Linked DNA regions of Schizosaccharomyces pombe. Changing the gene in region 3 together with the main gene of any one other region gives a genetic interaction. Each region holds a gene or a part of one and is shown on either strand. Other genes may lie near its edges.

Region 1 (3,495 bases), on a different chromosome or scaffold from region 3:
TATTGTGAGCTACCATCAGCCATCTGGTACATTATCTTTATGCTTTTCAAAAAATGAGCTCAAAAAGCACTCTAATCTTACTAAGGAAGAATTGCTCTTAAGGTGTCTAACATTGACTACAAGTTGCAGACAGATTAAACGATCTTCTGTTGTAAGCCTTTGTAATTCAGTTTTTGATGGAAAAAAGCTAACAATTGCTAAATGTCTACTCACTTCCTCTTCTATAAAGGACGACACTAAATTACAACTCCAAATTTCCAGACAACCATTTAGTAAAGCTGAATTGAAAAAAAAAACTATAACCATAAATCCTGATCGTTATGTTTTATGGGATCACAGGTTTTGGATAAAGTACAGTTGCAAAAATACACAGACTACACTTATACTTAGACCGTTGCTTTCCAAAGATCTAAATTCATTGAAGGGATTTTTGAGTAAGGAAGAGTTTCTTAAATTTTGTATACAAGTTCCGGGCCATATCAGGTTTACTATTCCAGTCTTGTCGGAAGAAAACGATAAGTTAGTTGGAATACCTACTTTTGGGTTTAATTTTAGAAGTGATATTATCTCAAACTGTCTACACAAGTTCAAGCTTTAATTGCTGCTTGAACCATGAAATCAATGTTAATTAGAGATACAAGATTTGTGATTTAATAATGCCTCATTATTTATTTATATTATCACAAAGTCAGAGGTGAAAGTCAGATGCTCAGAGCATATTCTGGTGATAAATAGCACGACTGATGCTTACACACAAAAAGTAATACGCCCTTAAATTACTGGTGACGAGCGGTAAAAAAATGATGAAGAACTTGTATTATTGATCGTAAAAAAATAATTTCCTAAAACTTATAAGAGTTTAAGAAAAGAGCGTGTGAGTTGCTCTTGTAAAGTTTTAGAAAGTAAACGACTAGTAATTATTAGTCGTATATCGAGCGACAATGTATATGTATTTAGGAAGAAGGAAAAGGAAACAGCTTGAATCACCGTCTTAAAAAATATCGTCGCAAAAAAATTTCCAAAATTTATAAACACATATAAGTGTTTCAAGTATTTCTCATACGGATGCCACTAACGTTTTCCCAATTAATTTTCTGGCGAGTGACTGGAAGTTGACGACGCAATTCTTTAAACTTTTTGTCATTAAGTGAAGAAAGTTCAACGTTGAAGGACTGTTGAATTCCATTTTCGACTTGAGCCAACACTTCATAAAGCTTACTGGTCTCCTCGACTGTAGCAGAAATAGGACGGGATGCATCCAACCAAACATTTCCGTCTTCATAGTAATGAACACGAATATGCGACCTGCCTTCCAGTTTCTTTTCCGAAACGTTGTAATTGCATATACAGCGCCACGAACCGTTCCAATAGTTCTTGGGATTATACTTTGAAGAAACCAAAACAATTGTAAACGATTCCACTTCATCGCTTTTTTTGATGATTCCAAATGTTACATCAGATAGATAGTGATCCGAAGCAACCTTTTTAATTTGCTTTACTATTTCATCGGGAATTTTTATGGCTTCGGTATAATCTTCAACGTTTTCAGCTTCCTATGAATACTGTTAGCTATTTAACAATTATCACAAAAAAAAGATTTGAAAAATTTAACCTTACCATAGTTTCATAATTAATGGTAAATGATTTCTGTAAAACTTGATCATAATAGCGATTGCCCTCTAGACGATTATCAGCTGAAATAATTACTTTTTCGTCATCCGATATGCTGACAGAAGAGTTGTAGTCTTCATGATAAAGCTTCAGTTGTTCGTGAATTGCTTCCTCATCACTTAGACCGATGTCGCGTATATCTATTATATGCATTAGAATGTTGAGGTATTCAGCACTTTAACAAACCATGAACTACTTGATTAACTTCTCCTGGAGGAGATTCTCTAATGAGTTTGTAAATTGCCTCCTTTTCCATCTTTCGAAATTTCTATAATGTGGTGCGGACAATGGTGAATGGTAAGAAACGAATACGGATGGTGAAGACAATGCCGCAAAACTATCACCAAAGAGTTGTATAGTCTACCAAATCTTCCAAAAAAAGGAGCTATAACCTAATTTTTTTTTCTTTTTATTCATATATAAGTAAATATAGCCTCGGAGGTCGTCTGGTTAATCGCTTAGTTGTTCATTTGAAAATATCAACAATGTTAAGGAAGACAAACTTATCTAATATCACGACGCTTCTAAGAAGTGCAAGATGTATGAATAGAATGCCTCAACTTCGCTTCGAGCATACCAAAGGTGATTTAAAAAGGGTGAATCGCTCTTACGAGACTAGAGACGCAATGTTGGCAAGACTTAAATATCAATCTAGAAAACGGGGAATATTGGAAACGGATTTGCTTTTATCTAATTTCGCCAAAGATCAGATTGATAAATATCCAGTATCTCTTCTGCGAGAGTATGATCAATTATTAGATGAGCCCGATTGGGATATGTAAGTAAATGAACTTGATATACTTAATGTGCGCTATTTTAACGTCCAATTTTTAGTCTATACTGGTGTTCAGGAGAAAGGGAAGCACCTGAAAAGTGGAAATCGAGTCAAGTCTTCAAGGAATTGAGCAAATACTGTCGAAGTCAGAGGAATCATACACTTCGAATGCCAGAACTATTTTGAAAACGTTTCTTGTTTCTCTAAACTAATGTTTATTTTTGACGTTGACTTTTCAATAAAATATTAAAAAAAAATTCGTGTAATGATTAAAATTTAACAGTATATATAGATTTTTTTCCCTTCAATCTTACTTCTAAGAAACTTAGTCCAAAAATAATGTCTTTTATTCTACGATAGTCAGATGTAGTCCTAATTCTTAGTCAATAGGTAACACAATCTCTACTTTTTCAAAGCTTCAATTTCTTCAATTTCTTTTGGAGCAGCACTAGTTAATACGAACGGCTTGTCATCACCAACGATTACGCTATCTTCAATTCGAATAGCTATTCCTTGAGCCCATTGAGGCCATCCGTCTTCTTCTGGAACATATAGTCCGGGTTCTATGGTAATCTAAACCCCGTTTAGCAAATAATCTGAAAAGAACTTCAACTTACAACTTGGTTTTTGCGCAACGGTTGGTAACCATTATTCGTAGAACAATCGTGAATCTCTAGTCCAATCTCATGCCCAATTGAATGCGGATACAATATATCTGTAATCTCCTATAGCCAAGGAAGTTAGTACGAATATTTTGCGAAGTAGCAAACTTACCCGTTTAGTTCCATGAATGCCGACCTGCTTCAATTCTTCATGCATTAATTTAACACTTTCAAAGTGAATATCAGCCAAGCTCCAGCCATTACTGGTGCAACAATACTTAATACATTTCTTTTGCACATTCAGAACTGCTTGATATAAATCCCTTTGTACAGTACTAAATTTGCCGTTGATGGGCCAAGTCCTCGAGATATCTGTTACATAACCACCGAATTCCTGTTAAGCAAGTGTTAATTGACAAAAAATTGAAGGCACTTACACCGCCAGCG
Region 2 (3,163 bases), on a different chromosome or scaffold from region 3:
TCCTGGTGTTCGGACGCAAGGTTTGCCTTTAAAGCATCGCAATAACGAACGTCTTCCTTACTTATGCAATGCTATCTGGTCTTTTTACACGACAATTGTTATTCTTGCCGTTCTTCACGTGACCCACGTATTTCCAATTACTACATTTATCGACATGTTCGGTCCTTTGATGAGCGTTGCAATAATAACCGCTTTTGTCTGTACCTTTGTTTTGTACACTGGAACTTTGCTTTTTGGTGATCGACTTTTTGATAAACCTCATCGGTTATCTGGAAATCCCATCTACGATGCCTTTATGGGAGCTTGCTTGAATCCTCGCCTTGGCAAATTGCTTGATTTTAAAATGTTCTTTGAAGTTCGTATCCCTTGGTTTATCCTATTCTTTATTTCCGTTGGTGCTGCTGTTCGTCAATATGAAACTTATGGCACTGTAAGTCCTCAGGTACTTTTCGTTTGTCTTGGCCATTATTTGTATGCAAACGCGTGCTCGAAGGGAGAGCAGTTGATTGTTCCAACTTGGGACATGGCTTATGAAAAGTTTGGTTTTATGCTTATCTTTTGGAACATGGCTGGGGTCCCATTTACTTATTCACACTGCACCCTTTACCTTTTTTCGCATGATCCATCTGTTTACAACTGGTCAACTCAATATACAACCGGTATTTATGTTTTGCTTCTTTGCTGTTATTATATATTTGATACTTGCAATGGTCAAAAAAATCATTTCCGTAATCAAATTTATGGTACTGAGGTTCATCGCAAAACATTTCCCCAACTTCCCTGGCTTATCATCAAGAACCCTACCTTTATTCGTTGTGCAAATGGCGGTACTTTGTTGACTTCAGGTTGGTATAGGTACGCTCGTAAAATTCATTATACTGCTGATTTCTTTCAATCATTGTCATGGGCATTGATCACCGGTTTTCAGTCCCCTCTACCTTACTTTTACCCATGCTTTTTCTTTGTAGTCCTTGTGCATCGTGTTTCACGTGATATTAAAAAGTGCAAAGCTAAGTATGGGGCTGATTTCGATGAGTATTGCCGTATATGCCCTTACTTATTTATTCCCTATATATTTTAGAAATGTCTTTTTAGTCCCTTCTTTACTTAATAAATTGGCTATTCAAAATTCCACTTGAAGTGTTTTTCTACTTTAAAATTCAGTTAATTTTTGTGAAAGTTCTCAAATTTGATTGAGTAGCTGGAACATTCCTTAAGTTATGAACGAACAAAGTAAGCAGCTCTGACCGTTTTTTATACAATCTATTTCTAGACTTAAAAATTATTAACTTCCAAGTCTTTTTGCATAAAGATTTTTGGAAATAGCGTAAGGAATAGCTAATAAATAGTAACAATCATCTTGTTTCTTCATAGCGATCCATTTACAGTTAAATTTTTTTTTGCATTAGTTCACTCACTTGCTAGATATATAAATTAGTGTGGAATATTTAGGCGGTAGTGCATACGCATAACCATTTGCTATTATTTTTTTGTAGAACTGTATGTTTTTTCGCTTATATTTAATAAGGGTCATGCAACATAATAATAAGAAATTATAGACTCTGCTTGTTTAGAGTAGTGCGCCACCCTTACTTGGGGCGACGGTATCTACTGATGCGAGTAGCCCTCCCCTAACCAAACCAGTGCCAACCACACTAGCTTACCCGCTATCAGTAAATAAATAATATGGTATGAAATATTTTTGTTAACTTTACATCGTGTTTATTTAACATACATTAGTCTTTTTCAGGTGTCAAAGTCTCTCCCGAATGCTTGGAAGCTTTCCAAGAGCTCAAGCTTGGAAAGTCACTCCGTTACGTAGTTTTCAAAATGAACGATACCAAGAGTAAGTGACGAAAACGATTTAGATGGAATTTGAGAAAGTCCAATATCCCTTTTTTTAAAAATAAATTTATTTATCTACATTGATATATATTTTATGTTTGTAATGTCTTTCTATGTCGTTTTTATAATTATGTGGAACCTTTCACTAATTTTTTTTTGTTTAGCTGAAATTGTTGTTGAAAAGAAGAGTACGGATAAGGACTTCGATACTTTCCTTGGTGACTTGCCTGAAAAGGATTGCCGTTATGCTATCTATGATTTTGAGTTCAATCTCGGAGAAGGTGTTCGTAACAAGATTATCTTTATTAGCTGGTCTCCTGATGTTGCTCCCATTAAATCTAAGATGGTTTACTCTTCTTCTAAAGATACTTTACGTCGCGCTTTTACTGGAATCGGTACTGACATCCAAGCAACTGATTTCTCCGAAGTTGCTTATGAGACAGTTCTTGAGAAGGTTACTCGTAAGTAAAACACTTTTGGTTACGATTTCTTGACTCATGCGTAATACGAAATGAAATTAAATAACTTCGTTTCGGTATGCAAACCGATCCTTCAACGCTCCTTAAATATCTTTTTCTATATATTTAGAACTATAAATACAAAGATTTAAGTGTACGTTGGTTTCCTGTTGATATTTAATTTGTCAATAGTATATCTACTTTAAAAAATTTGTCATGTGATAACGGATGAGTCGGTATATGAAAAACACTGCAAGTTATTTGCCAATGTAATTGACAAGCAATCATAGAGAAATTAGTTCTACGCAGTTTCCACCACTAGCTGAAATGTTTGAGTGCCTGGGTGCTTGCAGGTTTTTATTCATCTACTTCAAGTATGGTATAGTAAGTAAGCTTAGTTTTATTTTCTCAGTTCCGACTTTTTAATTCTGTAGATTTCATCTACCACTATTTAGTCATTGAAATTGTTACAAATATTCCTCTATATATAATGATTCTGCATTCCTAAAAATGCTAATTAACAAATTACGAAATCCAACGATCTACAAAGTAATGCCATTCCATATTAATATAACAATTGCTGTTCATTCGCTATCATTTTAAAATGATGTTTTCATTAGTTTGCTCATTGATCACATAGCATGTATTTTACCAGCTATTTTCAACGTACTAGTCTACTTGATCTGTTATTGATCAAATGTAAGTGAATTGCTGCTTTTATTGTTATTATAATCAATAAAGTAAGCAAATTTACACTGGGGCACAATCAAACATTGGTATGCAAAGAACATTAATTCGATATACCAATACGATGTCAAAAAAATTGAAGGATCTCCCTGTCAGCTCAACGTTCACATCAA
Region 3 (4,789 bases):
GAAGTAAGAATGAACTTCAAATTCACTAAATGCTTACATGATAGACGGTACAGTTTCCTCAACTGCCTGTTTCATCAACGACGACAACTTCTTTGGCTTAATCATCTTCGAATTTAAACTTAGATAGCAGTAAAGGTAGCAATATGTATTTTAAAGTCCAATCGGCAATAACGATTTAACCTGTTTTGAATGGTGGTTATAAGTAGTTTGTAAGCTACGCAGTTTGGTATCTGATTTAAGGATACGTAGAACTGCGGTGAGTTTTCCTTGTGGTCTATTATATTACAATACACAGGTTGTATAAGTAGCAACTGAGTATAGGTATTGTATTAACTGGGTTATAATGTTACCTATCACTAATATAGCTCATAACTGAACTGAGGAACGAGGTTCAGTTGTAACGCTATTTATAATATTTCTAAATAGTTGTTATCAACGGGTATCTATGTATATAGAAGGATAGTTACCCGTGATTATCAATAAACGGATCTTAGCTAGTATTCCAACATATGACATATAGTGATACGCAACGTAGTGTAGCATAGCGTAGTGTAGTATTGCTGACATAGTTGGACAATATACGGTGGACGTAATGTGTATTATGTTAAGTAATCTGATAATAAATAATATTGTTATAAGATTCCGAATATTTTATTAAAGTAAAAAATGTTAATCGACATATATACATTTTTATTTCTTTTTATTGTGTTTGAAAATTAGGGCTTGGTAGACCAACGTTCTCCCAACGAATGCTTTATTTAGAAAGCTGATTTGCATATGCAGTCCGTACTATTTGGGCCTACAGAGACTTACCATTAGTTACATATACAAATGATCTTCCCTTCATTATGAAATTAAAAAGCTAACTATTTTCTACAGTTTGAGAAAAAATGACTACGTTTCGTCGTGCAGCTTCAGAATTCCTCAAACATTAATTAGGATAAGGATTACCCAATACTAAAGGGACAAAAACGGGTTAAGATGTATCATAAAACAACACAAAGTTATCTATAATATGACATACCACTAATAACATAGCGAGTCAAAAGCGACGTACTCACTTCCGAAGTTGTTCGCAATATAAGTAATTAAATTGGGAAAAACACATGTGTTAAATCGTTTCGTTAAAAGCTATAGTTAAGTCGAAACAAATTATACGGCCATTAAACTGCCAATAAAATGAAGGACCAACCGAGGACGAACGGCCACAATATCTTCTGGCAAAATAAAGATTACGGCACCCAACTTTCTGGCGATAGAAATAGCAAGACGAGCTAAACGATGTGTTAGTAATGAAAATTAAAAATATATCAAATATATATACATACCATTTTGAATAGCAAGTTCTTCAGTAGAACCATCGGTAACAAGATTGTAATCAACATATTCGCTCTTAATTCCATGAAGTACGTCTAAGACGAACACACCAGTGGAAATAGAAGGATCACGGAATGAACGAATTTGAGAACCTTTACCACCTTTAGCAGCCATAGAATTGGCCCACGCAACCATGTCACTATCTGAAAGAGTTTTACCTCCACGGCTAAGACTATGTAGAGTTTTGGTAATGTTCATACGCATCATTTGCCAAACCAATGCTAAGGTGAGTGTACGAGAACCGTCAGTAATATCAGCACCTTGTATTCCTACCAAAGAAAAACCTTGATTTTTTCCAAGGTCCACTGCATAATTACAGTTTTCAACAGCTTTGAAACGCATCATTTCATCTCCAGATGCAGGTGCCTTGTTCACCTTTTTCCAGTTAACGGTATTAGGTGTGATTTTATCGTAAGCTTGCAACAAAATCAAGCCATCTCGTAAATTATTGAAGAAGTCATGAATGGATGGAGTAACATCAAGAGAGTTCAACCACAAGGTAAAAACACGTGCCTCACGCTCACCTTCTGCATCAAATGGTTCAATCTCCGGCTTTTCCTCTTCATTTAAAGGCTCCAAACCTGGATGAGTATTAAAGAGATGAGCAACAAAGGCAAGGTTAAGCTTAGGGTTCCCTGCAACCATAGCGGTAGGTGTAAGATATTTGCGGCAATCCAATTTTTCAGCATTCTGTAAAACCTGTTCAGCACGCTGCAAAACATCTGTAGTTTGAAGAGGAGCACGTGAACAGAGTTCGGGAGCTAATTGGTTGAGCAGCACAGTATAATTCTCGCCATCTGAAACATCTTTTGAGAAGTTAGAGACAGTACGCGGCCAATTGGCAGCCTTTAAGTGATAATTGAACCAGCGGAGAAGAATTTTCTCAGGAGGGAGACGGAGAAATTGGTCAAGGGTTTCATCCTCTTCGAGAAGGCGGTAAAGCTCGGGATGTAAAGTAATATCAATCTTTCCAAGGAGACCGCGGCGAATGATTTGCCAAACAAGACCAAGAATCAAATGTTCACGACCTTCTAAAATATCGCCGGCACCAATGTTGGTAATGGAGATACCACCCATAGCTTTTGCGGAGTTAATAACAACATTGTTATTTTCAATACATTTGAAATTATCAAGAGGCTTGTTATTTCTCTGTTTATTGAGTACACGCTCATCAATGGTGTCGGGAACGCTGTCATTAATTAACTTTGAGAGGATTAAACCATCTTTGCATTGATCGAAAAACTCAAAGGTTTCAGTGTTGATGGGGACTCGGGAACCAACATCAGGGTCTCCAGCTAAGACGGAATTAATATGCTTGATAAATTCTCTTCGCTCTTCCTCATTAATGGTATGAGAAACACTTGAGGAAGATCCTTTGATAGTAATCCGACCCTTTTTTACTTCAGTACCTTCTACACCTTTTTTTAAAACATTGAAAATCTATATGCATTAGTAATCCAATTGATGAAGCGATATAGAGACACATATCGTGAAAATTACGGAAAACATTACTTACTCCTACAAAGTCTTCGGGTTCAACACGTCCAGACGAATCAACGTTAACTTCACGAATTGCTTCACGGACCTCATCGTAAGAACCCTTCTTTGAATCTTCAAAGGCTTTAATAGTGGTAGGTTGATCTAAATATCCCTTTCCATCCACATCAAGTTTGTTAAATTGGTCGGTTAAGGTTAGAATTTCCTCATTAGTGAGCTCCGGATACTTCTTTTGAAGTTTAAGAGCTAACATTTCTTTAAAAGTAAAATTTGACCAAAAAATGTATAGTAAACGAAACCACACGATGTGTGCTTTGGGTGGCTTGCAGTTGCTACGTGACAAGGATTAACGTCGTGTTGTTGATGCACATACATCATACTTACAGAAGCGTAGAGCAAAACTTTGATCCGCTCGCTAAATGAGTTAATACACGTTTGCTTAGCCAATCTGTTAAAAGTTAATTTGCAATTGTAAAAAGTAATTTACTACTTGACGATGTCTTGCGTTGTAGCTTTAGATTGAATATATAGCTGGGATATCAACTACATTGAATTTTAATTTTTTTTACAGAATAAAAAGCTAAACGTAAGTCCATATCAAATTAGCGATATTACCGAATTCAAATGCCATAAACATCACAAACTAGCAAGCTCTTTCAATTGAAGTCAACTGATGCATCGACTTGAAAATTACTTAGTACTATATGTCAAGAAGCCAAAATTTCTACTTACTATGATAGTAGATCCTTTGTAAAACGTTGCAGAAAGTTTTTCCGGCCGTGAAAATTCGTGTTTTTTTTCTTTTGTTCAAGGGTTTAGGTCACTGAAGCCAACAATTTTTGATACAATATAAGAAAAAGAAGTAATTCCCGCTTTTAACTGCGCAATAGGATAAAAGATTAGCCAGATGTCACAGGGTTAAACTTTTAACCTGACTACCTTTTCACGTGTATTTCCAGTCTCGTTTATAAGCTGCAATATAAATATTGTATGATATTACTGCGTGCACCAAGATTCTCTTATATTATTTTCTTATAATCTACAAAACTCACAATACTACTATAACGATGCTTCAGAAGATTAGCTGTTCCGGTATTGTTGAAGCATGGTGAATTTCCTTTGCGGCTGCTGTTGTAAAATATTGTCTGACAACTATCCAAATAAAACCTATGGGATTTTTGCAAAAGGCAAACACTATTTTCATAGAGGCACCGCGTTGCAGGGATTTTCAGCAGAGATGATTCAATATTGCAATCAAACACAGTAGATATAAACATAACTTGAAAAGCTAATGAAATACATAAAACATAATTATATTAACCATAATATTCTTAACTTATTGGTTTCTTCAACACTTCCAACTTCAATGAAGCAACAAGTTAGAGGTTTAACTTCTCCACAACGCCAAAATTGCGACTTAGATGATAAAAATATTAAAGTCTAGATAGAGCTCAGAAACATCAAAAAAAACTATGGAATATGATGAGGAAGAAGTAAAAGTTTTGAAAGAAGTTTTAAGCGCGTTCTTTTTGTACAGGCAATATGCTCATACAATAACACAACAGAAGAGAAAATCGATGAGCAGGTTGTCTTTTGAACACAAGGACTTACTCTTACAGGACTCTGACAACAATTTTTTAAAGCATCTTTCAAGGATTGATCAATGTATCGAGCAGAACAGCGTGCTTGCTGAAGCAATCGCTAACGCAGCCATTCCTGTGTTCTGCAGTGATTTCGATCAAAATGAGTTATTTCATGTCAATGTTGATATGATGCAAAAAGTTTCAAGCACTCTCAAGCAAATTGCGAGAGATTGGTCGACCGAATGTGTTGAGGAACGCCGTACTACATATGCTCCTTTCATCGAGGAACTAAATTCACTTTTCCCATCTGATTCTATAGACAGATCTAAAAT

What was found.
Region 1: mutations in fim1 (region 3) and acp1 impair growth when combined (synthetic growth defect), as found in Schizosaccharomyces pombe (2 studies listed by BioGRID).
Region 2: of fim1 (region 3) and adf1, changing one enhances a phenotype caused by changing the other (phenotypic enhancement), as found in Schizosaccharomyces pombe (one study listed by BioGRID).

What each region holds. Positions count from the first base shown.
Region 1 is NC_003424.3:4,583,687-4,587,181, reverse strand, and holds acp1 (F-actin-capping protein alpha subunit), read right to left. Parts: upstream 1,968-3,495; 5' UTR 1,928-1,967; coding exon 1,858-1,927; intron 1,812-1,857; coding exon 1,618-1,811; intron 1,554-1,617; coding exon 1,047-1,553; 3' UTR 646-1,046; downstream 1-645. Other genes in the region: til1 (tRNA(Ile)-lysidine synthetase family protein), read left to right, coding at 1-598; succinate dehydrogenase subunit Emi5, read left to right, coding at 2,157-2,449, 2,506-2,632; peptidase Icp55, read right to left, coding at 2,849-3,019, 3,064-3,171, 3,221-3,442, 3,486-3,495. UniProt on the Schizosaccharomyces pombe protein: F-actin-capping proteins bind in a Ca(2+)-independent manner to the fast growing ends of actin filaments (barbed end) thereby blocking the exchange of subunits at these ends.
Region 2 is NC_003424.3:4,824,601-4,827,763, reverse strand, and holds adf1 (cofilin), read left to right. Parts: upstream 1-1,637; 5' UTR 1,638-1,686; coding exon 1,687-1,689; intron 1,690-1,740; coding exon 1,741-1,846; intron 1,847-2,009; coding exon 2,010-2,314; 3' UTR 2,315-2,507; downstream 2,508-3,163. Other genes in the region: C-24(28) sterol reductase Erg4, read left to right, coding at 1-1,081; fmp40 (adenylyltransferase), read left to right, coding at 3,115-3,163. UniProt on the Schizosaccharomyces pombe protein: Controls reversibly actin polymerization and depolymerization in a pH-sensitive manner. It has the ability to bind G- and F-actin in a 1:1 ratio of cofilin to actin. Binding to F-actin is regulated by tropomyosin.
Region 3 is NC_003423.3:3,105,615-3,110,403, forward strand, and holds fim1 (fimbrin), read right to left. Parts: upstream 3,195-4,789; 5' UTR 3,128-3,194; coding exon 2,894-3,127; intron 2,818-2,893; coding exon 1,329-2,817; intron 1,275-1,328; coding exon 1,153-1,274; 3' UTR 628-1,152; downstream 1-627. Other genes in the region: guanyl-nucleotide exchange factor Lam2, read right to left, coding at 38-105; SPOM_SPBC1778.07 (carnosine N-methyltransferase), read left to right, coding at 4,347-4,789. UniProt on the Schizosaccharomyces pombe protein: Binds to actin, and functionally associates with actin structures involved in the development and maintenance of cell polarity. Plays a role in cytokinesis. Plays important roles in mating and in spore formation.